4 linked regions of the Danio rerio genome follow. The protein of the gene in region 2 interacts with the protein of the main gene of each other region in a pairwise test. Links are inferred from orthologs where the notes say so. Each region holds a gene or a part of one and is shown on either strand. Other genes may lie near its edges.

Region 1 (7,821 bases), on a different chromosome or scaffold from region 2:
TCTTTCTGACATTATTTTCAACTCATTTAATACTTTTGATTTATAAATATGATAATTCAATTCCTAAAAGACCATGGTCTGCGCACAAACCAACGTAATAAAAGTTGCATAGTAAACAGTTGCATTTTAGCGACATTTCACTTTCAAAAGGAAAAAAAAAGGACACATGGCTATCTGTGTGTGCACAAAAAATAATTCAATGAATTCTTAAGTTTGCTTTCATGTGAAGAGCTTAAAATTGCGTGCGACTTCAGTGATGATGCAGATTAGGGTTAAAGTTTGCTATTAATCTTTGGATCGTGACAATCCAAAATCATATATTTTTTTTCTCTCATTTAATACATTTAATTTTATAAATACAATAATAATAAAATTTTCAAAAAGCCACAATCTAAGCACAAACTAATATAGATTTTAAGTTAGAATTATTAGCCCCCCTTTTTTTTTTCTTTTTTAAATATTAAAAATATAAGTGATGTTTAAAAGAGCAAGGAAATTTTCACAGTATGTCTGATGTTTTTTCTTCTGGAGAAAGTCTTATTTGTTTTATTTTGGCTAGAATAAAAGCTGTTTTAAATTTTTAAAAAACATTTTTAGGTCAAAATTATTAGCCCCTTTAAGCTATATTTTTTCGATAGTCTACAGAACAAACCATCGTTTTACAATAACTTGCCTAATTACCCCGACCTGCATAATTAACCTATTAAGCCATCAAATGTCACTTTACACTGAATACTAGTGTCTTGAAAAATAACTAGTCAAATATTATTCATTATCATCATGGCAAAGATAAAATAAATCAGTTATTAGAGATAAATTATTAAAACTATCATGATTAGAAATGTGTTGAAAAAAATCTTTTCTCCGTTAAACAGAAATCGGGGTAAAAAATAAACAGGGGGATAATAATTCAGGGGGGCAAATCATTTTGACTTTAACTGTAAGAAAAATGTTGCAACAGTTGCGTTTGCTTGCATACTGTAGTAAAAATTTTAAATGACTTTTAGCGACGTTTCACTTTGAAAGTGAAGCAAACGTGCAGGAAGCAGCCTAATATAATTTTAGCAAAAATGTCACCACATCTTTCATGAGCCCAGGCTGAAAATAAGCCCATATTTCTTTTCTTTTATATGTGGAAATATTTGCAGGATCTGAGATCTTTCATATCCCAGATAGCGAGTGGGATAACCTAATCACGCCGCCGGAATCGGATCTTTCTCCTTCATCCTAAACACAGAGTCTTCTTAAAGGCACACAGATGACCACCTCAGACCTGGCAGCATCAATTCCACTTAACCTCCTCGGAGATGATCATTTCCCCTTCGCCTTGAGCATCGCAATGCAATTTCAGGCAATGAAATCAGATCAGAGGACAAACGCTCTCCGTCATCTGAATACAAGAAAGTTCCGAGAGCCGTTCCCGTTATCTTGAGAAACTTTATTGATGGTTATTGTTATGCAGATCATAGTGCATGCACATACAATGACAAGGAGAAAGCCTGTCCACAACACGTACTTAAAGCAGAAAGAGCAGAATCACAGCAGTGGGTAAGATATTTTTGCCAAGTTGTGTGATGTGACGCACACAGTACACAAGAGGATATTTTGCAGCCGGATAAATTGGAGCTGCTCTTTTGTTTGTATTTTTATGCAATCGAAACGTTTTATAAATACAAAATAAAGAAAAATGAGATATGTGACAAACACCTCTAATTAGGTATACTTGTAAACAACATGAAGGGAAGTCTTCGCATATGCACAGCCAAGCTGCGACTCTTCAAGAACACCTCGACAGCTTGCTTGTGTAGCACTTGTAAATGACATAGTTATCATTATTCCTATTTACATATAGATATCTTTTTCACAAGTCATATAGTTCTCAGTTTCTTGATAATCAAACAGTTTCAAAGTGTAAAGGCTGTGTTCTAGAAAATAATAGTACAAAGGATGTCACATTAAAAATGATATCAAAACGAAACACCCGAAGGAAGCAGAGAAAACGAAAGAAAACAGACAAGTGAGGAGGAGGAGGAGAAGGAGGAGAAGAAGTTGTGATGAAAAAATTGCAGGTCGTGTGTGCAAAATTGTACAGTTGACAAAAATACTATGATTATATCTACATAATGATTGCATTACTTGTAAAGTGTTGATATAAATCTGTGTATGATTCCATAAAAAATGAGACACCTTTCTCTAACAGTTGGTCTACCACACTAAATCTAAAACATTATACAGTTGTGTTTGTCGTATAAGAGAACATTTTCACTGCACAGATCAAATTTAATACACTGTTAGTTTATTTTTTCCCACTCTCAGCTTGTACAAATAAACTCTTGAGAAAAAAAAAAAAACTAAACAAAACAAAAGGTAAAAGAAACTAAATTAAAATAGAACCGGCGCTATGGTCGGCGTCTTTTTTTCTTTTTTCGTTTTTTTTTTTTTCGTCGTGTTTTGTCTCTCCCGTATTATAAAAGTCAGCATTTATATCAATCGACGTACTGGAAGTACCGTAATATATAAAAAGAACATCTCGTGGTAGGCCTAAACTAGCGAGGGGTTGGACTTAGGGACTAGATAATAGTTAAACAGTAAAATACTGTTGTGGTGAACTTTTCGGGGAGTTTCTACGAGCTGCTATGTATAGTTGGAATCTACACACGGAACACCCCAGGAACATAACCTTTGGCTTTGAGTAATGACTGATATAAGACAGCTTAAATAATCGATACCTCCGTGGTCTCTTTGACCGGCTCTGTGTCTCTGCTGTGCTCCTGCAACTACACTGACCTTTTACCACGCAGACGCCCGTATCTACTCGTACCCACCATCCCCTGCGTGCTCGTCCTCTACGCCACAGAACCCAAAAACAACTGAAACCAAAAGAACAAAACAAAGACGTAAAGGCAATGTCAACGAAAGCAGAAACCACTGGACGACTCTAGTCACTTACACTCTTACAAAATATGATAACCCCAAAGTGACTCGTATATTTATCATACAGAACTCATTTACATGATAAAGCCCTAACAATTTGTATCTTATTATTCTTTTTTTTTTCTTCTTCGTCTTTTTAAAATCTAGCAGCTCTCTAGATCACCACAGAAACCTCTACAGCCAACAATCTATGTAATCTTTAGAAATTAAAAACCCACAATATTAAAATACACAGCACAAAATATCTGAGGTATAAGATGAAAAATATCCGTTTTTGTCTTCTCTCTCTTGAGAGATGCTAAAATGATGCACTACTGCATGTATTGCAATACCCAGGCCTCTGAATTACTCCTCCTTTACCCCCACAGGAAGATTCTCAATAGGTTTTGAAATGTTTATTTTTTTTTGTCTGTTTTTATTATGATTTTTTGTAATGCATTTTTTGTTTGCTTTTAATATGGCGCGAAACGACTGTATCCACCTCGGTATATACTAGCCTGCAAAGAAGAAAGAACGAGACCCACATCATCGGCGTGGCTTCTGGTCTTGGCATCAGTCAAGGGTGCGAAAGCATTCTGCAAGAGAAGCCACGGGTTTGGACATGTTTAATTGACACAGCTCAGATGAGACCTATGCTAGCATTCAGACTGTTTGCTGTACATACTGTACCCCGCGGACGAAAACCAATCACGTTCCATCATGCAGCAAGCACACCGACACAGCTCATGCCAGAACAGATGCATTTAGCTACTTAAAAAAAAAAAACGCAAAAGGGCTGAAAGAAATGTACATGAGTTAACAGAGCAAATAATAATAATAAAAAAAGAAAAAGTCATGGATGCAGGGAGATCCGAATAATGGTCAGATTTTCCAGTAAATATCCTTAAAACAAGATAATTATATAACATTTAAATAACAAAAGATAAATATGAGAAAAAATGACGTTGTGGTCACATTAGTGAAATCTTGATAAATTTTGCTGTTGAAACTGTACCTTTCGGCTGCATTTACACTGCATGATTCAAGTGACCCAATTCCGAATTTTTCTCCCGTGTGGCACAGATCGGATATGGCCCATGTATGTGTAAGCTGGAAAAAAATCGAATGGAGTCTGATTTACTCAAATCAGATTCAGGCCTTGTTCATATGTGGAAATTTATCTGATCAGATCCGTGCCCTCGTGTCTGTAGTGTAAACAAGTAGATCGGATTTTCACCTATCAATTCGAGTCGCAAATCGTGCGTCATTAAAAACCATATCGAATGATGTCAGCTGTGATGCTCGGAACAGACTTCAGTAGAGTCCCAAACCTTACTTTTCATATACTAGAACAAAAAATAAGCATTTATATTGTTAAATAGCACAGATCATTGATTATTGCTTTTAATTGCTAAATGTTTCTTTTATATTCTGTTTTCTTCTCTGTCTTTAGTACTCCTATGTACAGCACTTTGGTCAACCTTGGTTGTTTTTAAATGTGCTTTATAAATACATATTGTATTGTATAACAACAAAAGATTTACAGTATACATAAAACAGAATACAGTCTCTACCGACTAGTTAATTTTTAAACAATAAGGGAACTATGAATTAATTATATAACAAATGCATGAGAGAAATAAGGGGAAAGGAGAGAGAAATATAAACATAAAAATGAATAGGCCTATTAAATACAAAACAATAAGCACAAATTCTAGAACTTTAAACATCACTCTTTAGGCTAATACTTTTTGTTTGAATATGCTAAAAATGGGTTTACATTTATTTACCTTTGCTTCCTTGTCCTCATTTGTAAGTCGCTTTGGATAAAAGCGTCTGCTAAATGACTAAATGTAAATGTAGATATAAAACTTTCCATTATATATTTGTGTAAAACTCAAAACAAGGTGTTTTGATTACGTCTTAAACAATGATTAAAATAATTTTGGATAATGAAAGCATTTAAAAAAATAAAATAAGTGAGCTCAAAATAAGTGAGCAACTCTTTAAACAGAAAAAGCAAGGTACCTCAATGTCACCTTTAAAATTTGTGCGTAAACGGCTTGACAGCAAATAAAATATTTTATAACCATATAGGATAAATATTCTTATAATTATTAAATAAAATAGTTCTTTACCTTAATTTGTTAAGAAAGCCTTAGGGTTTTGAGATTAATTATAATAATTATTTTATTAAAAGTATGTAAAACTTATTTAAGTTAATATTTAGGTTATTCACTGCAATTTATAATTTAAATTCTTCATGGAGCTGAATGCTCTATAAAGTCTGGAGTCATGGAGCTATAGTCTGTATAAAAAAGACAGAAAATAAACCTATGCAAACAATCCAGCCTTTATAAACTAATTATTTAACAAAAGATTATTACTCTAGTCAAATATTAGTTGTCATTTAATAAGCATGATACATATACAAGATAGAGATGGCATAAAAAGTGAAAAGAAGTTGTCTAATAATAAACCCGATACACACATGGTTGTTGTTATGCGCTGAACTCAGCCAATAGTGTAATATCAGTGTCGTCATCACAGCTCCTGCAGTTGCTCTTCTAACGTTGCACCGACTGAATTAATTGTCTGATCTCATGCACCACTTTAAGACAGATTTTGATCGGTCTGCGCAGAGATGCAAGAAATTGAACGCACCTTAAAACTATTGCATCACATGCATAAATCACGCCATGGACATTACATTAAGATGCCTAGTGGTTTAAAAAGGCCTAGATTAAAAGAAGATGGATAACAATGAGAACTATAGTAAAACAACTAACAGATTACAGATTAAACACATGAATGGAGAAAAGGGTGCTCTTTTATTATCAGCCGTCAGTCAGTGTCCCTTCTTTTTTTTCTGGTCATTGCATCTTGTCATTGCGTGCAGTGTAAATGCAGACAATCAGATTCGAGTAACTTTTAAATGATGATGTAAGCGGCTCATCAAAAAAAATGGATACAGCCACAAAATCGGAATTGACCATAAAGATCTGCAGTTTAAGCGCAGCCTTCAAGAGCTTGAGTATGTTATTTATTTATTTTCATTTGCTAACTGAGTATAGGAGTCAATTTCATATTAAATTAAATTTACAGAAGTGATTTTACAAACACAGAAAAAGCTAATTAAACTCAAGTAAAGGGTCTACTTTAATGTTTCTAATAACTTGTAAAATATGTTAAAATATGGGTGCAATAAAGTTGCGAAATCATTTAGCATACACATTCATGCATTCATTTTTCTTTGGCTTAGTCCAGGGGTCTCAAACTCAAATCGGCGGGGGCGGGGGGCCATGTCAGTGACTGACAATTCACAGGAGGGCCGTTTTAACATTCTAGCACAGAAAAAAAGTGGAAACCTGATGTAACTGATGCACTCAGAAATTCTTCCACAGAGTGTCAAAGCTCCTTCTTTTTGTTTCTTGTTGTACATATTGAAGGGGTAGTTTAAATTGATATGGAAAACATACAATTTAATAATAGGCATAATAATAATTATTATTATGTCAAAATCAATTTTTGCTTGAGCAAAAGTTTAACATGTAGTGTGAAACAGCTAAATGCAGTTTGGGTAACTTTATTGACTGTACTAGCAACTGCTCTTCTCAATATCATTATTTTTTGTAAAACCACAACAAAGATGGGAAAAGTATGTATTTATTCACATTTACTTTAACATGTTCAATTTCGCCAGCAGTAAAATTTATTAATGCACTTTTTTTTAATTCAAATCTTAATATGCGAATCAAGACAATCTATTAAATGAGACCATTTGAATCGATTATTAGCAAAATTATCATATTCACACCACCAGCATAGCGTGTAAGCCATGAAGAAGTGTTTGTACAACAAAATACAGGTGCTATAAAATGGATTATAATCAAATGGCCCTTGAATATTTACAAAAATATAGCTTTAGTAAAAATAGAGCACTTACAGACATATATTACAACATTTAAATCAGCCCCAGAAATAATCTGCATGTGATTTACTCTCAACCGCACACCGACAGAAACCGAATGTAACCCAAATATATAGTACAGTACCTTAAATGTCCAGTAGGTGGTTGGTCAAAACCACAAGTGTATATGCAACTGCACAGATAGTGATTCAAAAATATAAGTTTTGTTAGGCCGAAACTCTTTATATTTCTGTCAGTTGCGGGGCGGAGGGAGGAGGAAGGGGGCTGCAAAGGACCCGCGGGCCGGCAGTTTGAGACCCCTGGCATTGTCACTTATTTATCAGGAGTTGCCCCAAGGGAAATGAACCACCAGCTATTCCAGGATACGTTTTTTGCCCTTCCAGCCACATCACAGTACTGTAAAACACCCATAAACTCTCGCATTCACACACACTATGTCCAGTTTTGTTTACCCAATTCACTTACGTATAGCGCATGTTTTTGGACTTTGGGGGAAACTGAAGCACCTAGAGGAAATCCACGCGAACATGAGGAGAACATGCAAACTCCACACAGAAATGTCAAATGGTCCAGCCACGACTACAACCTGTCTTTCTGTGAGGTGACAGTGCTAACCACTGAGCCTCCGTGCCATCCCGCATTCATATTCATACACAAAAACATCCATATTCTGAGCTGGTTTGTTCTTGTTTTCTTTCAATACTTCTTCAAATGACTGATCTTCTAAATAAGTGACCATATGGGTGTTTACCAGTACTGTAAGGGGCTGAAAGGGCATCCGCTTTGTAAAACATATGCTGGATAAGTTGGCGGTTCATTCCCTGTAATGACCCATGATAAATAAAGGGACTAAGCTGAAGGAAAATGAATGAATGAATATGAGACTTATTAGATTTATATAAACTATACATGTTTGACCACACTTTTGAAGAATAAACTAACAAACTAATCAAATATAATCTAAAATAATTACAATT
Region 2 (8,297 bases):
ACGAAACACGCTTTTTCTGCCCAGAGTTGACTTTTTTCAACTGCATGCGTACAGCGCACAAGAGAAAAAACACAAGGTGCAGCAGGCGGTTAAAACAAGAGGAGCGCAGAGTCCATAAGCAGCGCACAAAACGCTCGCGTTCATTAGTAAACCATTCAAAAAGGCACCTCTAAACGCATAAAGCTCGTTCAGTGTGATCAGCCCCTTAAAGTACCACCTCTGTCATTCAATGTTAATTAAACATGCTTAAAAAAGTATTATTTTTATTTTAATAGGTTGAATTGTTTAATTCGATTGCAGCTTTTTTGTATTTTATTTCTTCCCAAATATTAAAAAGTGATGGTAGCAGAATAGAACAGTAAAAAACAGGAGGATCTAGAGAGAAGCACAAAGGTTAACAAGTATGTTGATATATTTTTTTAAATAAATTACCCAGCATATCAAAATGGTCAGTCAAATACATGGCTTGTTTCAGAATCAAACGCACATATTAAGATCAATCACAAATACATTCGAATTGTTCAAAATCACTTCTGCTAGTTTTATATGAGCTCCAGCTTATGAATGGGTTATGTGGACATTGCAGTCAGTTCAAGAAACTTAATACCTAATGTATTTCTAGAATTTATGAAATACAAACAAGAAAACACTATTTAAATTTTATTATGGATTTAATAAAATGGTCAAGTAAAATTAATAGTCAACAGGATGCCACTGATCAATAAATTACCAAATTCCAATCTACAGACACTGCCCCTAGTGGTAGGCAGCATTTCCGTTGGTGTGTTGCAATCTTCTTTGCTTTTTTAATGTGAATGTGTTGTGATCTTATGTTTGCTTTTCATTATTTTCATTGCAATGTACTCTAACGGGCCACCATTCCAAGGTGTTCTGAAAAGACAATCGCTTCGTTCTTTTGTTTTAGTTTCTATTCACATACACGCACAGATCAGCAAACACAGACGCACCAGGACAAACCTGGTTCTTGTGAAAAGAAATCAAATGTACTACATGGCACAAATGAGTAAGCCTCATCGACTCTCATGCATCAAGTTTTTATATGCATCAATGATTACTTGATTAAAAGCCTAGATTAAAGCTGCAGTGAGTAACTATTAAATCTACGGTATATCACAATGAATACATCTTTAAAACTGAGCGCTATTCTAAATCAGTTTGATGAGCATTTAATAAATGGGCCTAAATGGGACTATTATAAGTCGATACTGCTCAGAAGTAGTTCAGTACCTGACTCATCATAAACATTAAGAGAGAGAAGTACGTCTAGCTTTTTTTCATTAACCACCAGAGCACCAAAGATTACATACTGTAGTGTTAAATCTCCTTATCGTACAAAGCAAGCATGTCTCTTTAGAACATTTGGATTAAAAAGCTCCATTCATAAGGATTTATTATTAAAGGTCTGCATTTTGGTTGAATTCACTTTTAAATAGAGCCACAGAAATCTCTGAAATTTAATTAAACACCTCATGGGTTTTGAACAACATAAGGGAGAGTACATGAAGACAGAAGGCTTGTTTTAGAAGAAACTAACCCTTTACTAACCCTAAAGCATTTTTAAAATGACATTTGGATGTACTACATCTGCCATGTTGTTATAGGTTGTTTTCAACAATGTGGTTCTGGTGACATGTGAAATTCAGATGGAGGCAGGAAGTAAAAAGCTGAATGGGAGACACAGAAGTCCATATTTTTGCGAGTTATCCTATATTTCAAAAGAGAAATTAATAGAAAATAACCACATAAAATAAGGATCATGCCCAACATATGAAGAGGGCTGAGTTTTCTAAAACTAAAATATATTTGCTGTCATCAAGGTACTGTATAAGCTCTAACGTTATATGGAAACAATACTATAGTAAATACTGAAGTGTTTGGAAGCATACTAGATGATTAATTAATTTTGAACTGTTGTAGTAATAATATTGTTACTGTGGTACAACACAACTGTAGAAATAAACTAATTATTGAATAGGTTTCAGTTTTCTATGCTATAATTATACAAGATCACAATGCACCACAGTTTACACTAATGTTACAAAAGTGCTCTACAATAATAACCATCTAGTTTTGTTGCAAGAGTTGCATTTCTTTTTTGTTCTGATGATGAACTTAACCATCAACCAACATTCACTGCTGCTGCGTACTGTATATAGACGTTAACGTTACGGTTGTTTATTCCACCAAATCGCCAGTAAACAAAATGATTATTGCGAAACAAGACGGAGATTTCATCGCAGCAATTTTATAGCAGGGTATGTTATTCATATTCTTCTGGATTTTGCATAAGTGTGGTGGTGTTTGTATCTGATTAACATATTTATACACATGGCTATGCCTGTATAAAATCTTTATTGGTCCTGTCAAAAGAATTATAGCGTTCAAAAAGGTTTGTACACATGGATGTATTGAATGAATGTATATTACATGCCGCCTTTTCTTCCTTTTTTCAGCTAGTATCATGAACTCCCCCCCCCCCCCCCCCCTTTGTGAGCAAAAAAGTCCATAAAAGCTGTCTGACATTTTTTATTTTGGCTGATTTAAACAATGATAAACAACATAAAACAGAAACATTTTGATGTTCTGATGTCAATTCCTATATAGCAGAACCACTTACTGCCCTCCATCTGAATTTCACACATCATCAATGACATCATGTAAAAACACCCTATGTAAAGAACCTGCAAGCCTTGGTTTTGTTGCTTCTCTTTCATTCATTAATCCTCTCCCATGGCAGGACTCGAAATTAACTTTTTTGCTTGGTAGCACCGGTGCTCCTAACTTTAAAAATTTAGGCGCATCAGCCAAAAATTAGTTGCACCCACCAATTATAAGCACCGTTACTACAAGTTTTATATAAACAGATTTATTGCATTTGAAATCAACAGTAATCAAACTAACAAGCAAAAAAACAATTTTATATATATGCAATCGTGAGGAAAATATGTCTCAACGAAATCCCGTTATCACAAGAAAATAGATTTTTATAACGGAACTGAGTGACCAAAGCACGGAGCGCTCACCGGCCCTCCACGCACTGCTTGAATAAATCTGTTAAAGGTATAACAGTGCTGTTCTCACAAGTGCTGTCTGATATTGCACTGATGCTTTTGACACATACTGTACCTTATTATATGCATACATGTTATTAGCAATACCGGTCTTTTCACGATTAGCGATATTAGTTTACTCAGTCCAAGCCCATTTGTGATGGTGTACGTGGTGTTCAATTTGACATATAGCTGCCCCTTGCACGGCGGACAGCATCTGGAGATTATATGAAGAATTAAACAGAAGCTCTTGTGCTAGATGTGGCGAACAGTTACCTGAAAATCCCATCCCACAGACTTTTCATAGCGGACTTGAAGCCAATGGAAGTCTTCTACTCTTGGAAAAGTGTAGATGGTGGATTAACATTCAGCACATGATCACTAGTAAGATGTGTCATTATTTATAACTTTAGATGCCATGGTTTCTAAAACAAAATCTGTCTGTTATCTTCATTCTAATCTTCAGCGCTTTACAATGTTTCGCGGTAGTAGCTCTCTCTGTCATCCCAAGCCAGAAGGCACTGAGTGATTGACAGCTGATATTAACCAATCATTCACATTCAGTGCTAGAGCAGTGGTGGGCCAATAAGAAGAGCGCGAAGGCAGGGCAAGCATTACGTACTTGGCTTTTTTGTTTACTGCAGCAAGTTGACATGACAACTGTTTTAAACCATTCCTGAGCGCTGCGTTTCGCGTTCCAAGTGCAGACAAAGAGCTTAGAGATGCATCCTGCGTGAATGTCTCCTGAATCCGCGCATGTGGTGAACATTTTGCAGTAAAAACTGGTTGCACACAACAATTTTAAGCACTCGCAGAAATGCTCCCAAATATATTTTAAGGTTGCATAGATAAAATTTTGGGCGCATATGCGACCAAAATGGTCGCAATTTCGAACCCTGCATGGTCTCATGGGATGCTAAAATGTCCATAAAAATGCAACCTTCCGAATCTCAGCAGACGTAGCAGGTTATAAGAGTACTTCTCATCTGCTTTATGAATACTATGAATTCTGACATACTATCCAGCTATAACAGAAAGGTGTGCCATTTTAGATGCAGCAAATTTGTCTGAATATTCATAACGTCCATCACAGATTCTAAATGGTATAGATGTTAGACTGAAATAATCACATAAAAATGAAAGAAGATACTGAACTGACCTTTTTAATCAAACAATTCTAAAAAAACCCTGGCCATCATGGGAGTTATAACTAATAGAATTATTTTATTCGATATTGAGTGATAATAGTAAGATAGTCATAGAAAATGAATTGCACGAGAAAAAACGTTCTGTTGTTTGTTCTTATTTATTGGCTAATACAATCCATGGTGTAATGTTAACCCTTCAAAACAATGTAGGCACTAATTGTGATATTAGTGAACTGATCATTTTCCTCCGCAACTTGCAATTAGTATAACACCGTTTAGCTACACTATATCTACATTGTAACTTCACAGAGCTCAAACCTGTAAAACGCCCATTAAAGTAGCAAGAATATTTGACAGAAGGTCTCACCTTTCTTGGCATAGTTGAGGTCCACATCTTTGAAATGAACTACCACTACATCTGAGGACTTGAAGATGATGCTCTCCACAATATCCTCACGGCGAGGGCCCGCATTAGGTTCTACACTCTTCCTGTGTGCAGCATCCAAGACAATGTCACACTGCAAATGAAGAGCCCACGACAATAAAAAAAATGGACATATGTCACCTATGTCCGAACTAGAATTACATTTTTCTTGTGCTTAACAGTGATAGAAATGCTTAACATCAGCAATACAAAGTGGTATCCTTACCTCTGGGCCATATGTTTTAAAAACCCCTTCATAGATCAGGCCATTTTTAACCTTAAGTTCACATTTGGTTCCCTGTTGAGTGGTGAACCAGAAAACGAAATTTCAGTAGGAGTGTATTTGTTGTGCTTTGGTAAAACTGATTAAAAAAAGAATATAATTACAGCTGTGCATTTATACTTACCACAACTGAGGTCAAAACATGAACCATCCTCATGTTTGCATAAACTCCATTGAAGGCCACCTAAAAAAGAACAATCAACAACATTTCTGCCTGAGGTAAAGAGATATACAATTTACAAGTATCTATATTTTAATTGGCTGAGCAGCTTTCAATGTGCTGATACAGTGCTCAGCATATACAAGTACACCCCTCAAAAATCTATCTTTTATGTTCATATTTTAACAGGAAGCTATACAATATTATATTTGTGCCATTAGTCAGTACTGAAGCCAAATCTGGAGTTTATCTAACAAAATAACTTACGATGAAGGCCCAAAAAACTAGTACACCCACATATATCTGTTATAGAAAAATATTAAACAAAAATTTAAAATGAGGAAAAAACAAGAAGCAAAAATTTAAAAATTAAGTTGAAAATTTGTAGGTTGTAATTTTTTTGCTTGATTAAATTCAAGTAAAATATCGGGAAAAAAATACAACCTACAAATTTATTAATTGTATTATTTCTAAATACTCTATACTTCTAAATATGTCTGGTGACTAAAATATAACTTTAATAAATACATCTGTTTAATAAACCTGTTTTGTTTAAATGCACCAAACTACATTGCCTATATTTACTGAGAAATGGATAAAAATATTTATTTTCGAAACGGGGTGTACTCAATTAAGCTGAGCACTGTATATATGATTCAACAGGGAATATAAATTTGTATGCGAATCAATTTAATAAATTTACACTATGAATAAATGAAAAAAAGAAAAGCCGAAACTCACTGCAGTAGAGGGTCCTTTGGCATTGTTGCGTCCTCTGTTGGGAGGAGAGAAAACAGCATGACTGAGAAGTTTTATAACAGTTGAACTATAACCATATGCATACACAGAAAATCTTTGACATGCTGTACACACGGTTTAAAGAGCAAAAAAAGTCACACACTCCTACGAACACAAATTCAAGTGATTCCAGTAGGGTTATCGATTGCACATGTACTGGCAAACACTCAAAGCTGTAATGACAAAGGAGTGACAAATAATCATATGCTTCATGCAATTCATTGTGCAAAGAAGCACTTATGTAGTTCCCAAACAACAGACTCTAAAAAGAAAATCTGCATTTTACTGACAGTACGTGACTCATATCCACTAACAGCCATATACCTCAAACATATGACAGATTCTGAATTGTAAAGCTTTCAATGTGTTGGACAAAATTTCAACAAGATCTCTAATGTGCAGCAAAATAAGTTCAGTGCTCAAAGATTAGGCAAAAACTATCAGCATCTAGTACATTAAAATACATTAGTAAGATAAAAGCTGTGAATGACAATTATTTTTCAACAGCCAGGCTGCAAATCAAGTGCTGCATTACAGGCAGTGAAAGGCTCCACTGCACCACTCAAGATTCCCACAATCTTGTACAAGTCATATCACTCTTGTTGTTTTGCGTAAACAATAATCACATTTTCCCCATGCAGTGTGCAACTATGTGATGCCAATTCTCAGCTGTTAGATTAAAAGTTTCCACTGTTAATTTCTTCATTCATGACAGCTCAACACAAACCACGACAATAACATTCGTCTGTCACACCTCTACACAACATACTTACTCAAACGTCATTATGCAAGGACAGACTTATGCATGCAACCTCTTGTAAACGTCAAGGTTGAGAGTGCAGCTCTCTGACTTTCCACTCTACTAAGCGCTTGTCCTCGTGAGCGCGCGCGCCGCCCCTCATCGGAAATGCACGCGACTGACAGATAGTTCCAACATGAAGGATCAATCGAAAAGTAACGGGAAACACGCAGATTCGACCTAGTGGCCCTCAGCTAACGGAATTCAAGAAATCTAAATCGGACGCTGAGTTAATGTCATTGTCAATAGTCAAACAGAGAGCTAACATGTGACATCTCATAATGGATGATGAATTCCCAAAACATCGATTCAGGGGCACCTCAGAAGAGGTTACAAATCAGCTGACGGGAAGATAAAAGCATAAAACTAGGTAACGTTATCTGTAGCAAACAACCCTTTTTTGTTTGGACTGACACAAATCAGAAGCAATTGGTAAAACGTTGTAGAAAAACTATGATCTCTCGATTACATAATGACCAAAAACCTGAATGATGTTAATCTACAAAACATACTTTAAATCCTGTTAAATTAGACAGATTTCTGACAGTATGAGCAGATAAATGTTTGCTACAGTAGTTAGCAGGCTAACACTTGCTTCTATACCCACTGTAACGTTATGACTCTCAGATTATTTCTTTGTAAGTGACTAAAATGTCAAACACGTTCAATCCTATAACAGATTCCGACACGATACAAAAGCATCTGTCCTGGGAAAAGCTGGCACAGCCATATCCCACCGGCAAAGACGCACAATTCATCCTGAACGTGACCAGCACCCACAGCAGACAACCCGCCCCTCTCGAAATATACACGAACATGTTGTCCGCTATCAGCTGTTATTTTATAACCGCAGTAGTTTGCGTCCATTAACCTGTGAATCCCTGTCCTGTGAACTTGGCCTATATCGGCCTACTTGCGCTCTATCCTGATCACTGCAACTCCACAACCTGCGTTTTTAAACTACGACACTAGTGCAGGCATGCCGCATTCCCGTGTTGGTTCACGCTCGTCGGTCCATCCGAATTAAAAGCCTGTTATGCAGATTGGTCACCCACCTGCCCATGTTCTGGCGTCCGACGCCTCCTCCTGCTCCCCCGGTACCGGAGGCCGCAGCGGCTCCGCTGTTGCTTCCGCCGGGTTTGCGATTACCACCGGCCTGCGGCTTCATGGACATGATGATCCCATAAACGACAGCTTGAGCAGAGTTGTCTGACTGTTTGGAAAAAAAACGTTTGATGCCGCGGACGAGAGCGGAAAATGCTATTTGACGTGTTAGCTGACAGTTGATCTAGTGACAGCCAACGTGTAAAACTGCTCCTCCAGTTACTCGAGTCTCCACTGACGCTGCCTGCTACTTCAGCTAGCTCTGCTGATTAATTCCTCCTAAACAGAGACAATTCAGCCCGTTTTAAAAGCAAAGCGCGGACGACCCATATGTTTTAGATGTCTACAAAAATACCAACCCGGTAATTTCGCTATTTTGTTATTTTTAGTGCGGTATTTTCAGTGATATACACAGTTCACGCGGGGCTTCAGCACTGACCGATAGACCTAAACAGTCTGAAAAGCCACAAAAAGTGGCGGAAGGATATATACACATCCCAGGAATGTGTG
Region 3 (8,297 bases), on a different chromosome or scaffold from region 2:
TTGTAAAGGAGTCAATCTGCTTGCATATACTCCTGAACATGATGATGGTGGCTGTGAGAGACAGTGTTGTCCTAGTTACTGAAAAATAGTAACTTCATTCAAAAAGACCATCAACTCAATTACTTTATCGATTACTTGCATCAAAAAGTAATGCATTACTGTTAAAAGTCATTTTTGAGTTACTTTTCCAAAGAACTTTTTTAATGCTCCCATTAATGCTTTTTTAATGCTCCCACAGTCACCATCATCGTGTTTAGGAGTACATGCGAGCAGATTGACGTCTTTACAAACCTGCCTACTGCAGCACATGGGTGTGGGAGTGTTCGAATAAACTACAATGTTACATCACTAACATTTTTGAACATATTTTGCTTCCAAATAAAGACCTTTATTTGAAGCATAATGAGGCATTAACACCTCATCTTACCAGCAAACTGGAATTGCCAGAACGTCTCTATTCAGGTACTGAATCTACTTAGATTCAGTGCTTAGCAAACACTATACATATATATACTTCAAGCTATCTCATTACCCTGCAAAAAACTTGGTTTCAGTTCATCAAATTGACAGGTAACAATTATCAGTAGAACTTCTATGAACGACTGTGACTCAACCCTGTTTAGCACAAACTGTGAAAGCACGCAGATATCTTATAACATCACATAGACTGTTAATCAACTTCACAGTTTTAATTAATTTTTATTCTCAATTAAAACACAAGACAGACTTAAAAAAGAAGTATTTTTTTAAACATTAATTTATTTAAATCAGACCAGCAGCACAAAAATAAAAAATATTATAAGATGAATAATATATTCAGAAACAAAAAAGCAGAAGTTGTTGTACTTAACCCATAAGCATGTTCCTTCACAGCTTGAGTATAAAAACTAGCAAAAATATACAACAAACACAAAATCTTTATGAAATAAATAAATGAAAGTAATCTGAATTATCATTCAGAATCAATTTGGTGAAACTCAGCACCAAAAAAACTGCTGTTAATGACAACCATAGATTTGATGCATTTTAAACAAAACAAAAAAATGACAGCTTCTCAAAAATGAATCAATGAGCAATCAAACGTGGTATGTCAACAACGTAATCTGTGTATATCCAAAGCAAAATCTGCTGTTGTATAACAGCGATTAAAATATGTAAAACAATTTTTAAAATCACTGCATTTTTTTCTGAACAATACAACACTACAGTATACATTTTAAATAGCATGTTCTAAAATGTATCAGAAATATGTCACTCTGTCTACTAAACTAGAAAACTTTGTTATACAGATAACAAATGTGTCCTTATTTACAAACATAGTAGTATTGGTAATAGTAATTAATAATAGTAACGCTAATAGTCTACTCGATCTCTCTCGTGCGCACTTGACTTTTGTCCAGTCTGGTGCCTCATACACGACTCGTCTTCTTTACGGTGGTTGGTTGTCATCCACCAATCCCACAGTGCATCTCCACTGTAAACAGGCAGATATGGGCTAGACTGCAGCCAAAATTAATTGACTTACCAAGTAACCAACAAACGCATCATATTGTAATGATAACGGAGTTACTATATTTAAAAAGTAATGCATTACAGTACTTACTGTCAAAAATAATGCATTATAAAAGATTATTAAAGATGTCAACCTGCTCGCATGTACCCCTAAACACAATGATGGTGACTGTGAGAGAACAGTTTTATAAACGTCTGGCCAACAGCCTTCTTTACAGATAGCACCACCGTGACATCTGTAATTTGTTTTGTATTTGCCGCAGACAGACATCAAGTTGTGCTTGCACAAACTCAAACAAAAGACTTGACATGATGAGAGTGGCATATCACTTAATATGACCCCCTCCAAGTAATTGAAATCTATCTGAGTGGTCGTGCAGGTGGTACAGGCTAGTGTTGTTATTTTGTACTGTGTCCTCCTGTCTGACCCCTGAAGAATGAGAAACATATCGAGGAAAGAAGTCACATGCCAAATAAGGTGTGGTTCTAGAACACACCCACCGAATGTGGAAACGCCTTGGACCAATGGTAGCTCAAAGGGTGTTCAGGAGGCAAAATGAACTCCCCCAAATGTTTGTTTTGGTGAGCTGTTTTAAACTGCTAAAATAAACTCAACTTTACTGCGACCGGATTTTGTTTGAAATTATTTGATTTCATTTGAACTATAGTTTATTGAGGCCAGCAAAAGGGTGTTTACTCTGTTGTCAATGTGGATCCTAATGCTCCATAAGGATCCCAAAATCTATTGCCACTTCTTGTAAAAGAGTAATCCTGGACAAAATTCCCTTCATCTCTATCACCTTCTCTCTATAGCTGGTGTGTGGTGACTGCATTGTTGCCATTGCTGCCATTGGTCATCAAGGTTTTGGTTGAGAAGAGATCCCCTGAGCGCTCTGTAAAGGGCTTTGGGTCACACTATATAAAACACTATATCAGGGGTTACCAACCCTGTTCCTGGAGAGCTACCTTTCTACAGATTTTAGCTTCAACCCTGGATCAAACACACCTGAACCAATTAATTATGACCTGAAGCAGATAGGTTTGTTAGATCATGGTTGCAACTGAAATCTGCAAGAAGGTAGTGCTGGTTTAGTGACCCCTGCACTATATAAATGCTTTATTCACTCAATATTCAGTCATACCCATACAGAGATGCTACTGACTTCTCTTGTGTCCTTCTCCTGTTCTCTAGGTTTTCATTCATACTCGTTTAAATGTATGCTTTTTGCATATTTCAGTACATGTAGCTCAGAAATAAGCATATTCTGATGTAGAGAGTGCGCTTTGATTCATGGGAAGCATACATCACCGCAAGCATTCAAGCTTAAAACCTCTCGAAATGCCTTTATAGTAAGTTCTAAAGCCATCTGTGTAATATTGTCATCAACCATGCACGATTACTTAAATCATTAATTAAAATGATTATGATAATTGGGTTATTAACATGCTTGATTGCCCTTGTCTGATGCAAATTATGGCAAAAGGAAAATACTTAGAAGAGAGGTTGGGGGTTGGTGCATAGAGAGATGAAAAGATATATGAGCCAAAGGGAAGGAATAAGATAGTAGGGGTGAAAAGTGGAAAAAGAAGCAGGAAACACTGATTGAGAGAGTGCTGAGAATAAACACCCTGCTCAGCATCAATAGCCGTCAATCACTGATGTTCAGTCGTTGTGTAACCATTCTACTCTACTTTGACTTAAGAGCAAACACAGAGGACATTCTCCTGCTGTTTGTATTCAGCTAAGGACTGCTGTGTCTACTTTAAGAGATGGTATTACCTTTGTGAACCTAAACACAACCTCTACTATGTATTAGTATTTCCTTTTAGTGTTAGTATATATATATTATTTCCTTGTGGTACATACGCTACTTCAAAGAATATTATAATAGTACCATGTCTAAAGAAGCATTGTTTTAACATGTCCAAACAGTTGTAGTACAGTCTTGGCATCATATAGTAATACAAAGATACTTGCATAAGTCTCAGTACCATGGTACATGTCCAAAAAATTAGGTAGTACTGTTTGGTGGTACTTTATGCTATTTTTAGTAGTGTCCAAATTAAAGGGAGGGTTTCGCTTACATCGGTATCTGCCTCCTCTTTTATAGCACTGCGACACTTGTTAAATCATCTGGGCCTGTTTATCATGCAAAACCATCCTCCCACTAGTGCTGGACAACAGACGCAGCTGAATGGGTCCAATCAATAGAGCTCAGGGAGGAATGTCAAACAAGCCGTAACACTGCACAGCATCATTGTTTTGTCACGTGTCTCCCCATACAATCTAGAGTAGGAGGAAGAGGAAAAAGAAACTGTGCTAGCTTTCTTATTTGATGGACAATTTTTAACTTAACATCCAATATAGAGAGACAGTTCTAACTTTCCTAATATACTTATGCATTTATCAGTTTGTTGAGGCATGTTATTTTACAATAAATATTTGTTGAGCTGCTGTTAAGATAGTCCTCTGTAAACGACTGCAAGCTATTTGTCCATTCAGCACCACTGTGGCATAGAAATAAATCCTGATGCACAAAATATTTACAGCCTTCATTTTTTGGTTTCTCATTTTCTTCAGTTTACATGGCTTTATCATCTAAAAGCTGCTGAAATTATGTTTGTGCATTAAACCTGATTATGTTTCTTTATTATATTTCAGGTTCTTCCTGCAGTCCTGGAGACTCTCTCTCGGAAGGAAATGATTCCACATGAATTGCATGGACCGCTCTCCCGCAGCAGGTGTGACTTCAATTGCTTAAGACTGAAATCTGTGTCAATCCGACCATAGGCACAGGACACATCCCCTCTCACCACCACTCTCCTCTCTACCCCATTCCCATACTCGCTCCAAGCCAATCAGTAGGAGGGCACACTCTGTTAGCAAGACAAACGGAGACCAGGAGGGAGAGGAAAAGAGCCAAAAAAGGGGAAAGAAAAATCCGGAAAGAGTGGTTCAAGATTTTCAGACACCATGAAGTCAAACCAGGAGCGGAGCAATGAATGCCTGCCCCCAAAGAAGCGTGAAATCCCAGCAAGCACTCTGCCCTCAGAGGAGAAGCCCATGGTGATGGCGCCTGCCAATGAGAGCCAGCGTGGAGGGAACCTGGCTTGGCTTGCCAGTCTGGCCAGTGGGCATGACAAAGGCCGGCTGCACACCAGCACGTCTGCAGAATCAGATGGGCCTCAATATAAACCATTGTCAGCCACGGCTGAGAGCACACCTTCCTCGTCCACACACTCAACCAGAGCTCTATCTGCAGTGACCACCATACCTGCAGTGTACACATCACCTCTCTCCCATTCTCCTAGCGCAATCCAGTACACACCCCTCCCTCACAATATACACTTCATCAACCCTCCTTACTCTGCACCATACGCTGGCTACATCTCTCCACTAGCTCCCCCTTTAGCTGCCACCACTACCACACAACGTGAGATTTATGCCAGCTCCTCCAGTTCTCCAGCATCCAAAATTGATCAGCACCACCAATTGGGCCGTCCTCAAGGCCTGGTCACAACTGACAACACCTCTTCACCTCACTCCACTCAATATGTTCAAATTGCTGGTTCTCCACTAAGCATATCCCCTCGAACTGTTTCGTCACCGCATACACACTTGCCCCTACATTTACATCCTCACCACACACTTCCCCTTAGTGGCCCTTCACAGGTCTTAGTCCCATACACAGAAAGTCTTTTACCCAAGAGGGAGGAGATGAGGACCAGGGAGTTGCTGAATGGAGAGCTGGAGAAGGACAGACGTTTTGGTCCATCTTCTGAGTCCAGTGCAGGGAAGCAGGGCAGCACTGCCAAAGGGGGTTCCTCTGCCCAGCAGCACCAGATCCACCAGCAGCAGAGCCCACGTCACTTTGAAGCTCGACATGTTGTGCTACCTGCCGAGTACACGCAGGACAGCACAGCCATGAGGACCTCATTGGTGCTGGTACCTAATAATCATAGCTCCACTAGTGCTGATTCTGGAGGTGCATCAGACAAGCTGCCTCCCTCGACATCCCACCATGAAAAAGGAGGGATTTGTGCTGGCAAACCTGTCTCCCGCAGTTCCTCCTTATCTTCCTCCCTTTCATTTGCTCTTCCCCCTCCACCTGTGGACAATCTTAAGGGAGCAGTTCCAGCGCAGTCTCCTCATGCAGTCATTCAGACCACACTTAACAGCACAGAGTCACTCTCTCTAAGCCTCCCCTCCACTAATTTCTACTCCACCCAGCAGCCTATCATTGGTTACTTTGCCGGCACAGGGCACCAGCAGCCTCTCAGCTACCACACCACCTTACCCCAGCACTTGGTCATCCCTGGAACTCAGCCGGTCATCATCCCAGTAAGTGGAACTGAAGCTACCGCTACATCAACTGCTGCACTGCCCCATGCTTTCGTCACCTCAACAGCCCCCAAAGTGGAAACTTTTGAATCTCCGGCTCCATACCCCCACCCTGCCACAGCTATGGTTCAAGCCCAGTTGCATTTGCCTGTGGTTCCAGCACCTGCTGGCCTGCTGACAACTCCACCCCCACCCTCAGCTCCTTCAATGCCACCCTACTTCACCAAGGGCTCCATCATCCAATTGGCAGATGGGGAACTGAAGCGGGTGGAAGACCTGAAAACAGAGGATTTCATTCAGAGTGCTGAGATTAGCAACGAGCTGAAGATTGATTCCAGCACTGTAGAGCGCATCGACAGCAGTCATACAGCTAACTTTGCTATAATACAGTTTGCTGTAGGAGCGCAACGCTCACAGGTGGGTTCATAAGTTTTCTATTTAACATTGCTGCTTGTAGACACATCTGAGTATCTGTTTTTCTTATGCACAAAGATAAGCGGGGAAATAAACTTGAGATTGATGACTATGTGATATTAATCAAACACTGTGTACCATGTCTGCACGTGGTAGTAAAGGGTTTATTATTAAAAAAAAAATCTAATGGAGTTGACCTTTGCCTAAGTTTTAGGTGTGTGTACAGCAATTATATTGTCCTCCATATATTATATATTGCCAATCTTTATGAACCATAACTTCCGTTTGTTTCTTGCCATCTCTGAAATTAGCATTTTTAACGAGTTTTTTTAATGTTTATATGAACATTCCATAACTGTTTGTTATTAAAGGTGCAGTAGGTGATTGTCTTCAGAAACACTTTTTGTTGTACTGGTTGAAAGTCTCTTTACAGTCCAATAGTAATGATTACAGTAAATAATCTAAATGTGTTTATATGTATTTTTATATTCTGGTTAAGGCATAAAACTAAAAAATGTTCATCCAATTAAATAGAGTCAGACCGACATCTCCCATAATTCCGATAAGCAGGTCAGACTGTCTGTCAGCAAATGTAGATTCGGACTTCTGCGCATCTGTTCACGCAGATCCGCCATTAGGACGTGCCCGTCTGCATAAGCGGCCGCGCGGTCACGAGACGGACCGGTAGAAATCAAATGCTTAATTGAAACTTTTAAAAACCTGAATCAATATTGGAGTTACTTTAGCAGGCTGGTGGAAGGACGACATCATGGCTGAAGTATTACTGTTAGACATGTAATGTTCTGTTTTAAAACTATTTTAGTCAGGCTAAGCTTATGTTAGATTGTGTTCTGCTATGAATGACTTATATGCACAGACGTGTTGTTCAGACCCTGAAATCTCCCGGTGAAAGATTGATGTGATTATTTTCAGTTTCATAAGGTCCTTTTACAGCATCGATGATGTAGATCAGGGGTCACCAATCTCGGTCCTGGAGGGCCGGTGTCCCTGCAGGGTTTTGCTCCAACTTGCCTCAACGCACCAGCCTGGATGTTTCAAGTATACCAAGTAAGACCTTGATTAGCTTGTTCAGGTGTGTTTGATTAGGATTGGAACAAAAATCTGCAGGACACCGGCCCTCCAGGAACAAGTTTGGTGACCACTGATGTAGATTTATGTTTAGTTTAACAAGAAAACATCAGTAAATAGCGCTATTTTGCCTAGCCTACTTTATTGAGCTGAAGTTGCTTTTATATTCACATTGGGTCATTTTTGAACAATGACAGCCTTCCTATACTGTTTACCATGCTACTCTGAATAATCTGTCTGAAATAGCATGTAAGTGTGGCTAAGTAATAAATGTAATTCCCGCACAGCACTGGCACTGACTAACTGGCGAATTACATGAACTAGTGGGTTGTCTGTCTGCTGTTGTAACGCGGTGCGCGCGCTCGCGATTTCAGGGGGTGTAGCTTTGAATCACAGTCCCTCCCCGCCGTCCCAATATAATATGCTAAGGGGTTATCGTTTTGGCAGATCACCTACTGCACCTTTAATTATATACAGTGCATATTTGAAGTATATCATTTACATTAGAATCCAAATTGCAGTTATTTGAATCATGCCATTTTATGAGGTGTGATTACAGTTGAAATATCTTGGCAAATTGGCCAAATATTATGACGGTTTCATAATATGCAGATGGATTCCAAAGATGGGTAATTTAATTTCATGTTTAACAATTGTCAGTTAAAAATCTTTACAGCATTTGCAATTGCCCAGGGATCTTTTTTTTTTTACTTTACATCTTCCGTGCAACTTCATCATCTCGCTTTGAATAAGCATATGGTAGTCATTAAGTTTATATTTTTATATGCTGTGAGAGTGTGAATGTCCCCTTATATGAACTCCACCTGCACTCAATCAGTGTAAGTAGATGTGGGGCAAATTGGCAGCTGAAATCATCTCCCTGTTCCATAATCCCTCCCCTGGCTGTCCCCATGGCATCTTTGTTTAGTTTGTGTGGGAT
Region 4 (8,903 bases), on a different chromosome or scaffold from region 2:
AGACACTCAAAGTTCAATGCAAAGAGAGACCTTGGCTTTTACAGAGTTAGCTTAGCATAGCCTACAGCGAACAAAGTTTGGGGACTACAAAATATACATCCGACTTATTGATGTCATAAACCCTACTGGTTACGTGCATACACCTCGCGCATACACTTCGTACAGTGAAGGGGCTTGGCCAGATGTGCTGTACAAATTAGCACAATACAGTAGCTACAATCCTGCCCAAATGCTGCTATTTCAACAGAGCTTTTCTATTTCTGTATTTGGACTTCCAAAGGACAAGACACAAAGAAAGAAGTGCTTACAGTTAAATTCTTATTATATTTCAGAGTATTAAAAAAATATTTAGCTGGCATTTCACAAAGGACAGCTTCCAAAATCTCTCCTAGTTCAGTGCTGGACTCCTGTATTGTGAGCCACAATTTGTAAGTATTTTGATTTGTTAAAAATGACTAGTGCTAACAGTATGTTGTAGCAAGAACATAAAAACGCATGTAAACAATGGGAAATTCTATTTGGCAACAATTTAGCTACAAATTCATATTTATCAGTCAAACCCATGTAAACATCCACAATCTTCATCAGCGCTGTAGTGTCTCTCTATGTGGCCGCGTTCCCTACATTCTACATTTCAAATAATGAACTCACAAAAGACAAGTGAATGTTTCATATTAATTACACATGCTTATTCCGAATATATGTAAAAGACATGTAACGTTGAGTAAGATGATAAAATACAGGATAGTTTGCCTAACTCGTGTTCTATCAGAAAAAGCTCATCCATCAAAGCTCAAAGGGAGGGGTCACATTCCACATCTTGCGTTTTATTCTTCTGTTAAAAGCGTCACTGTATATTACAGAAAAATAACTTAATTCAAGCATCAAAGGGAAAAAAAAAAAATTTAAAACGGCCCCGTTCTCATGTTACATGAGTCTACAGACTGTTTACACACACACACACACACACACACACACACACACACACACACACACACACACACACACACACACACACACACACACACACACACACAAACACACACACACACAAACACACACACACACACAAAATAGAAATTCTCTATTAAAGGAGCCACCCCCTGTTTTCACTCATTACAGAGACTCGTCAAATGTTATTTTAGAGAGCTGGCATGAAGTTCATCCTTTTAATTTTTTGTCTGATTAAGGCTCAAACAAATACTTTTAACCACTACTCCTACTCAGACACTATTAACACAACAGAATCAAAGCGCGTGCTTGTGGAGGCGTGATGATTTACTGATGACATGGAGCCTATCTGTGAATTACAGGCATATTATGTTAGATGACCAATCAGAGCCTCTTGAGGGCTGGACTTTCAGAGGAACTAGGTAATATGACAGTCATTTTCATGTTAGCTGAGTACCTGTATATAATCAAAGTAAGATATTTGAAAAAATAACGTGATTTTTTACAAATTGAACATGAGCACACATTGCTTTGCATCTTATAAACAAAACCAATCCTTAGTTAAACTCTTAAAATAAGGTTTAACCAAGTATTTGTTAATCAGTAGTTGCTGTGCTATATGTGAAAAATCAGCCATTCACATGAAAGTGGGTGTCTCTGCATCACCATTTATCGATATCAACTTTTTCATGTGAACATGAAATTGAAAATCTTTCACCATTCTCTCTTATACTGCATGTTGAGAATAAAAATAAAAAGTCTTCTAAAAAGACTAAAAAAATTATATTTATGTTCTGTTTGTACTAAAATTGAACATGAGAACATGCAAAATTTGAAATAATTAATTCTAACACTGACTCTGCATAGACTTAAATCCTGTAGGTGCTGGAGATTAGAACAAAACAAATGAGCTGGTTCCAGGAAAGAACAAACTACTGCTTATCACCAAAGTAGGCTTAGGAAATCATTTAAAGATAGTAGGCTTATGATATAAAGTTAATGAGCTTATAAAATTTGAATATTCTATGTTTTGGTGTTGCAACAATAGATAGAGTTAGTTAACCGTTAACACATCGTTTGTTATAATTACTATATTTATAGCCAAATAATATAAGTTAGTATATGGGTGAAAGCACTTTAAAACTAACAAATGTCTACTTCCCTATTCTCTACCAAACTGTGCAGGGCCTTTCTCTCTCAGAGGCTTTTGCCCCTCTGCCATCTGGAACTAAATCTGCCATCTGAGGTAAATCAGCTGGAACAAATGTTTTACCCATTTTGAGCACTGCTGCATTTTCTGAACCGGAGCCATCTCCTCCTGAGGCCAGATAGGGGCTGATCACCAGTTACCTGCACTAGGCACTGTACTATTAACTAGCTTGCCAGTGCATGTTTTTTTCAGTGACTATGTACTCACCTTACAACAGGCTCACCTATTTAACACTACAAAAGGCATTCCATCCTGAAAGTACTATTTTAGGAGGGTGTATAATCTGCTCTCTACAATTTGAAATAGTCTTCATTTCTGTGAAGATGGACAATAGACAGCTCACAATTTGATTAGCATTTAAAAACTTAGCATTTTACTGATAACTTAGCATTTTACTTAGCATTTTTGATAAGCATTTTACTGATAATCTTGAACATACTGTTCAAGTGCAGGAAGCGATGTGCTAAAACACACAACAATAAAACAATATATTTTAATATTTGTAAGGGAAAAACATCTCATTCTTTAGGTGGTAAAATGTCCCACTGTTTAGGGTCATTTTAAAAACACTGGCCTGCCAAGTATGTGGTACAGCTGACAAAAACTTCAACAGAAAAATGTGTGCACTGCAGTAAGCAACGTCCAGAATTTGTAATAGGGGAAAGCAGAAAAAAACATCAGCCATGTTTGGGACAGGCGCTGTGATGCATAAATAGTGCCTTACATCAAAGAAACCTAGAGATAGAAGCTAAAGAAATCTCTACATGTCCAAGTACACTACTGCTCACAAATGAAAAAAACAACAACACGAATTTGTGACACTGTGATCAACCATTTCAAAACACCCAATGGTAAAAAAAATCAAGAAAGATGTTCTCTGATTGCATAATTTTCATCTATTACATGTAATAAAACAGAAATGACATTTTCTGTACATAGGCTCAAAATAAATTCATAGTTGATGAAAACAGAATGTGTGTGTGTGTGTGTGGTCTTTGTGTATACTCAAATAAAAATCACTTTCATAAGACACTTACAAAATCTCTGCATAATTACATACAGCCAAACAGAATAGTCAAAGACAGTTTTCATGAAATCTCACCTCAGTTTTGTGCAACAAATCACAATTGGCTAAAAAGCCAGATGGTGTGAACTAAAGTGTTAGAGTGCTGGAAATGCTTTGTTTTTTTGTTTGTCATTTTAAAACTAAGTGCTCATGAACAAAATACCTTATAAACAAATGCTTGTTGTCTCTCATGGCCTATTCAGGTACACAATTTGAATATAATCTGAATGCTATAGTTTTTGTTTTTATTTTTATTACATTTTATTTTGTTTGGTTAGTAATGGGCAAACCTATGGTTCAAATACAAGCAAGTATTTACTATGCAATTAAATTTCCAAGAATAAATAATGGAGGTAAAACTAGTTAAACCTGCCTCTGCATTTCACAGAGCAGGCACTATATTTTGTCACGACTGCAAGAAGGCTGTGTATAAAGTACACAGCAAGCTGTGAGATGGAGCAGTGTGTTTGAGGAACCATCTGTTCTACAGAGCAGCTCTGAGTCATGCCACCCTCTCCACTCTGCAGCGTGCACTGATGATGTCACAGCCTGACGATTGGTCAGAATGAGACAGATTATGTTGTTTAATGTCAGGCAGCTATGCAAGTCAAAGAATTTCATGTTAAGAACAATGTAAAGGGATGCTGGAGTCATGTTTTTCCGCGTTTGAGATTGTATACTTCAAAATGGCACAATTTAAATCCCAAATTATGTCTACACAAAATTACAGTGAGACATGCATCTCTCATTCCTCTATTAATGCAAGGTGAATCTTTAAACAAGGACACTAGATGGAGAACCAAGAGTAATGCAGCCTCACAAGGTAACCAGAGATTAAATCTAGTTTTATGTCCACTGACACAAACATACAGAAATTTACACATACACAGAAAATAATGATAATAGTTGAAATTAAAATTCAACCAGATTTAGGGGGCTAATATGAAAAAAAATAAAAATAAAATAAAATATATATATATATATATATATATATATATATATATATATATATATATATATATATATATATATATATATATATAAAATGGCAAAAATTCCAATTCCATAAAATTGGACCTAAAGCCTATATGTGGTGGCTTTGGCATCGTGGATTTAAAGTGTCACAGCATCACGACTGCTTTAGAGGGCATCGAGGTCAATTTAAGGATATGAGCTATTATGTAACAGCCCTTATCTACGCATCTTAAAATATTGATGTTCACGCGTTTTCATTTCAACGGTGCTGATAAGAGCACGGAAAAAAAACACAGAACATCCTTCATCCTAACATCTGAACGAAATGCTTTGACAGCGACTAGCCCGATGGCAACATATAGTGCCTTCATTTGTTTATATTACGGTGCGTTGAATAAAGCACACGCTGTTCAGAGTGAAGAGCCGCATTACGATTCAGGACACAAGCTGTTCTGTCTGCTGTAGCACTGCAGCAAACCCATTTTCAGGCTCGTAATGGTCAACAGAACAGAATGCTGAATTCATGTACCGTTGCATCTTACCTGAGTGGCTTTGTGGAATTGTTTCTTCAGTCCCGCTACAGACATGGTTCCGATTGGACTAGTGCTATTCTTCTAACCCCTGGATGAGATGTAAATATGTTCAGAGATACGGGGATGAGAGACGTTCAGAAATAAACCCTCGTACACTGGGAATCACCACACGAGTAGGCTGATTATAGCAGCTGATGATGACGAGGCTGTGACATCACGCGTCAGGTTCCGCCTCCCCACGGATTACAGCTGAGCCCCTCCTCCAGGGGAACCTTCAAGGTTAATTCAAAAAGGCGTTACGCCAACAGGTACATTCAAGACAGGTCAGGGGAGAAACCGTACCGTATATATATATATATATATATATATATATATATATATATATATATATATATATAATAATCAATACTAATAATAATATTAAGAAGAAGAAAAATGGCAGACAGGGGGACTCTAGGGAACACTGAAATTTTGTCGTAAAAAATGCTCTCTCTCTATAGTGGGGATGTGATTTAATATATTTAGATTGTCAGCCAACACTTTCTGGATCAGGTGGTTGGATGGTCCTAAAGCTATCTGGTAACACTTTATAATAGGGTTTCAATAGTTTAAGTTAGTTTATGTGTTTACTATCATAAACAATATGCTTATCACAGTATTTATCTTTGTTAACATTAGTTACTTTAAATAAAGGTAGATCACAGTGCATTAACTAATGGTAATAAGCACAGCTTTGGATTTTAATAATGCATTTGTAAATTATGAAAATGCTGATTATTAATAAATGCTGTACATGTTTTGTTCATTCATGTTTGTAAACACGTGAACTAAAATTAACTAATGGAAACTTTTTGTAAAGTGTGTCCAGATATCCCAGTGTCATAAACCTGTTGCCTTGCTGTAATAGGCATAGGCATTGCAGCCAACATCTGCACACAAAGATTCCAAGAAATCAGCAACATCAACCTTCATAAAAGATTAAAATTACTTATCATTCTTAAACAGGAATGTACAGTAACCACCAGTGTTACATTAAGACAACATGTACAACATGTACAATTTGTAACATTATAAAACAGTACAATTTAATCAATTATATAATACAGTGGTTAAAAATGTGTCTCACAAAGTACTCCCATCTCTGCAAATTTTGCATGACTACCTGTTAAAAGACCAGACAGAACTTTTTAGTTGCTTATTAGAAAAAATAGGGACCAGTTTTGTGAAACACTGCTATGACATCTTATGTATTTCAAGTTTATGTTATCTATCAGCAGTTAATATTACCTATTTGCATAATATTAAAATTGTCATTCTGCCCTTGTAGTGCTCATCCACAGCAGTCTGTCATAAGGAACAGCTCAGACAGCAAACTTGCAGCTGGATTGACAGAGGTCAGGTATCCACTTCGGCCATTTCATTTAGCTGATCCAGGTGGTTTAAGGCAGTCAGTTGAAATGCTCTGCAAGCTTCTACCTATGTCAGGGCAAAAGTATTTTCCATGGACTCCAGAATCTAGAATGGCTCATTATACATCAGTTTCAGCAGATGTCTCTGTGCATCATGTCAAACTGTACCTGGGAAAAAATGTAGCAGGAAACTCAAGCCTTCACTCTTACATAAATAAAAAAAGGTTATTTATAGTCGTTTATGTAGAATAAAACAATGGGTCACACTTTATTTTAAAGAGCTCCTATTTTATCCTATTTGATGTAGGAGAAGTCTATGTTATGTTTCAGCTTAAAATAAACATCAGATCATATATTATACTCTGCTAAAAATGTCAATATTGCGATCAGAGAAAAGTGTGAATATAAAAAAAATGGAATAAATACATTTTTATCATACTGCTGGCTATATTCACACACTGTTGCTGCAAACTGTGCTCAAACCCTTTATAAAATGGATTTTTGCACAATAGGTCCCATTTAAATGAAAATGAGCTGGTTCTCCTTGCCCATCGTTCCACCATACCTGTCTGTTTCTCCTGTGTCACATCAGATAAACAGCACAGTGACAAAGACAGACACAAATGAAGCAGAGACACAGTTAAAAGTCCTAGTTAAAATATCACAGTAAGAGTCAACCAGGACATTTTCCAATGATTATTTGATGTATTTGTTGTGGAGTTTTTTCAAGCCTTTCTGCAATGATCCACAATTTGCAATCCACAAACACACACACACACACACACACACACACACACACACGCACACACACACACACACATAGATATATACACTAGATATCGCATAGGGACCCTCAGCATGCGTCAATAGCGCCGCCACATTGGTACAGTGCTCCCAGGACATATGTCATTCAACCGCACTAGTCAAGACAGTGTTATTACGTGAAGATGCGGGACTTTAGCGCTGTCTACGGGTGTAGTAACGAGCAAACAAAGAAAACAAAGCACAAAGGCAGAACATTTCATAGGTAATATTACGTTTTTTTCTGTTTTTGAATGTTCTGAACTTTTGTGCTAATCAGGTAACGTTATTGATGATGACAGCCACTTACTGCATTCACCATACGGCAAAGCAGCTCCAACTCGCACTAAACACTCGGCTTATGGTAGTTTTTTTGAAAATAATATTTTGTTTAAAATCAGCAAACAATGCAAAAGAAATATGAAGAGATGCTGCGCTGCCAGAAACTTGTTTTATTGTCGGCTAACGTTAGTGAAAGAGTCGTTCGGGGGATTCATTCACAAACGAATCGCTCTCTCCGTCAGTACGAGAAGTGAAAGCAGGAGAGGAGCTGTATTTCAGGACACGGATTATATTAAATTTAACAGGGAGGGTGAATAGTACATTTCTGTACACACAAACACAAGCTTTTTGTCAGGAATGCCCGTGCGGTCACTGATCCATCAATGTAGAAAAGTGATGTAAAATTATAATTTTTCGTAGTTAGAAAAAAAAATTACACACTAACATCCAGAAAAACTCCCGATCATAGATATATGTGTATATCTCTGGCTTTGGATGGCCACAGTCCTCCACTGTACCTTGGTCCCGCATTCATTTCAAAGGAGCGCTACCCTGTAGCAAGATGGCGGCGCTATCGACGCATTCCGTCCAATAGATAACAATAGGCCAGGCGACATCTAGTGTATATATCTATGACACACACACACACACACACACACACACACACACACACACACACACACACACACACACATTTAAGTTTGCACTGTTTTTGCATGTCTACTTGCAGCAAATGTGGCAGGATACAAGTTAATGTGCATTGTTGAATGGATGTCCATTATGCTATTGTACAAAATAAACCTGATTTAATGTCCACAATCGCTAAGCCCCGCCCTTCTTAGTTACTGTTGCTACGCCTGTCAAGCTTTCGTGCCTGTCATGTCTATTACAGTATGTATGCTCGGGTGTCAGACATTGCCAGAAATATAATTAGTAATTTTTGGTGAAGAGGTGAGATATCTGAGAAAGCCAGACAAAAAAGGACTGCAGTATGCATTACAGGGGGACATTCATGACAAAATAGGCAACCGATTAGAGAATAATTGAATCAAAATTGAAGTTAGGTTAGCCTAGCTACCTCATACGTTGACCATTCAACAGCTTAGTTCATGCACAGCAGGATAGGTGACATTTAAAAATAATCTAGTAATAACTATTTAAACCGTTATTTCCCCCTTTTTTTTTAGCCAAAAAGCCTGATAGACTTTTGTTGTGCAATGAAATATAGCATTACAAACCAGCGAGGAAACACGCATGGACAGTGCTTGTACATCATTTATAGAAAAGGGCAGAAAGGGGAAATTTGATGGATTTGTGCCGAATATTTGACCCATAACAATGTACAATACCTATAACTGTCAGTATGTTTGTTTGCTCTTTATATAGTTTCTATTCTAATTTGCTGTTAGGTGGAAAAAATAAATAAATTGAAATGCCGATTAAAGTATAAATAGCAGAAGTGAACAAATAGATTGTCCCTACCAGCAAATATTAATCAGATACCAAATATAAAAGCAAACACTAACCTCGTATAACGCTGTTACTAATGACTAAATCTCTAAAAGACCGACAAAAACATCAGTGAATTGTAGCTCTGACATGGACATGAGGGTTATAAATGACTGGAAAACATCTGTGGGTGAAGTATATTGATCTCAAGAGCTCAGTTTGTGATG

Evidence for each region.
Region 1: the proteins of atxn2 (region 2) and rbfox1 interact in binary tests that used the Homo sapiens proteins (3 or more experiments, as listed by UniProt). The link is inferred for Danio rerio from reciprocal best matches to the Homo sapiens genes ATXN2 and RBFOX1.
Region 3: the proteins of atxn2 (region 2) and atxn1a interact in binary tests that used the Homo sapiens proteins (3 or more experiments, as listed by UniProt). The link is inferred for Danio rerio from reciprocal best matches to the Homo sapiens genes ATXN2 and ATXN1.
Region 4: the proteins of atxn2 (region 2) and sh3gl2a interact in binary tests that used the Homo sapiens proteins (3 or more experiments, as listed by UniProt). The link is inferred for Danio rerio from reciprocal best matches to the Homo sapiens genes ATXN2 and SH3GL2.

Annotation. Positions count from the first base shown.
Region 1 is NC_133178.1:26,725,688-26,733,508, forward strand, and holds the end of rbfox1 (RNA binding protein fox-1 homolog 1), read right to left. Parts: intron 4,024-7,821; coding exon of another isoform or gene 3,929-4,023; intron 3,510-3,928; coding exon 3,387-3,509; 3' UTR 3,385-3,386; downstream 1-3,384. UniProt on the Homo sapiens protein: RNA-binding protein that regulates alternative splicing events by binding to 5'-UGCAUGU-3' elements. Regulates alternative splicing of tissue-specific exons and of differentially spliced exons during erythropoiesis.
Region 2 is NC_133180.1:42,586,321-42,594,617, forward strand, and holds the start of atxn2 (ataxin-2), read right to left. Parts: upstream 8,246-8,297; 5' UTR 7,858-8,245; coding exon 7,739-7,857; intron 5,862-7,738; coding exon 5,828-5,861; intron 5,111-5,827; coding exon 5,051-5,110; intron 4,942-5,050; coding exon 4,870-4,941; intron 4,738-4,869; coding exon 4,587-4,737; intron 1-4,586. UniProt on the Homo sapiens protein: Involved in EGFR trafficking, acting as negative regulator of endocytic EGFR internalization at the plasma membrane.
Region 3 is NC_133194.1:34,914,355-34,922,651, forward strand, and holds part of atxn1a (ataxin-1a), read left to right. Parts: intron 1-4,174; 5' UTR 4,175-4,486; coding exon 4,487-6,271; intron 6,272-8,297. UniProt on the Homo sapiens protein: Chromatin-binding factor that repress Notch signaling in the absence of Notch intracellular domain by acting as a CBF1 corepressor. Binds to the HEY promoter and might assist, along with NCOR2, RBPJ-mediated repression. Binds RNA in vitro.
Region 4 is NC_133176.1:28,417,555-28,426,457, forward strand, and holds the start of sh3gl2a (SH3 domain containing GRB2 like 2a, endophilin A1), read right to left. Parts: upstream 4,892-8,903; 5' UTR 4,790-4,891; coding exon 4,745-4,789; intron 1-4,744. UniProt on the Homo sapiens protein: Implicated in synaptic vesicle endocytosis. May recruit other proteins to membranes with high curvature. Required for BDNF-dependent dendrite outgrowth.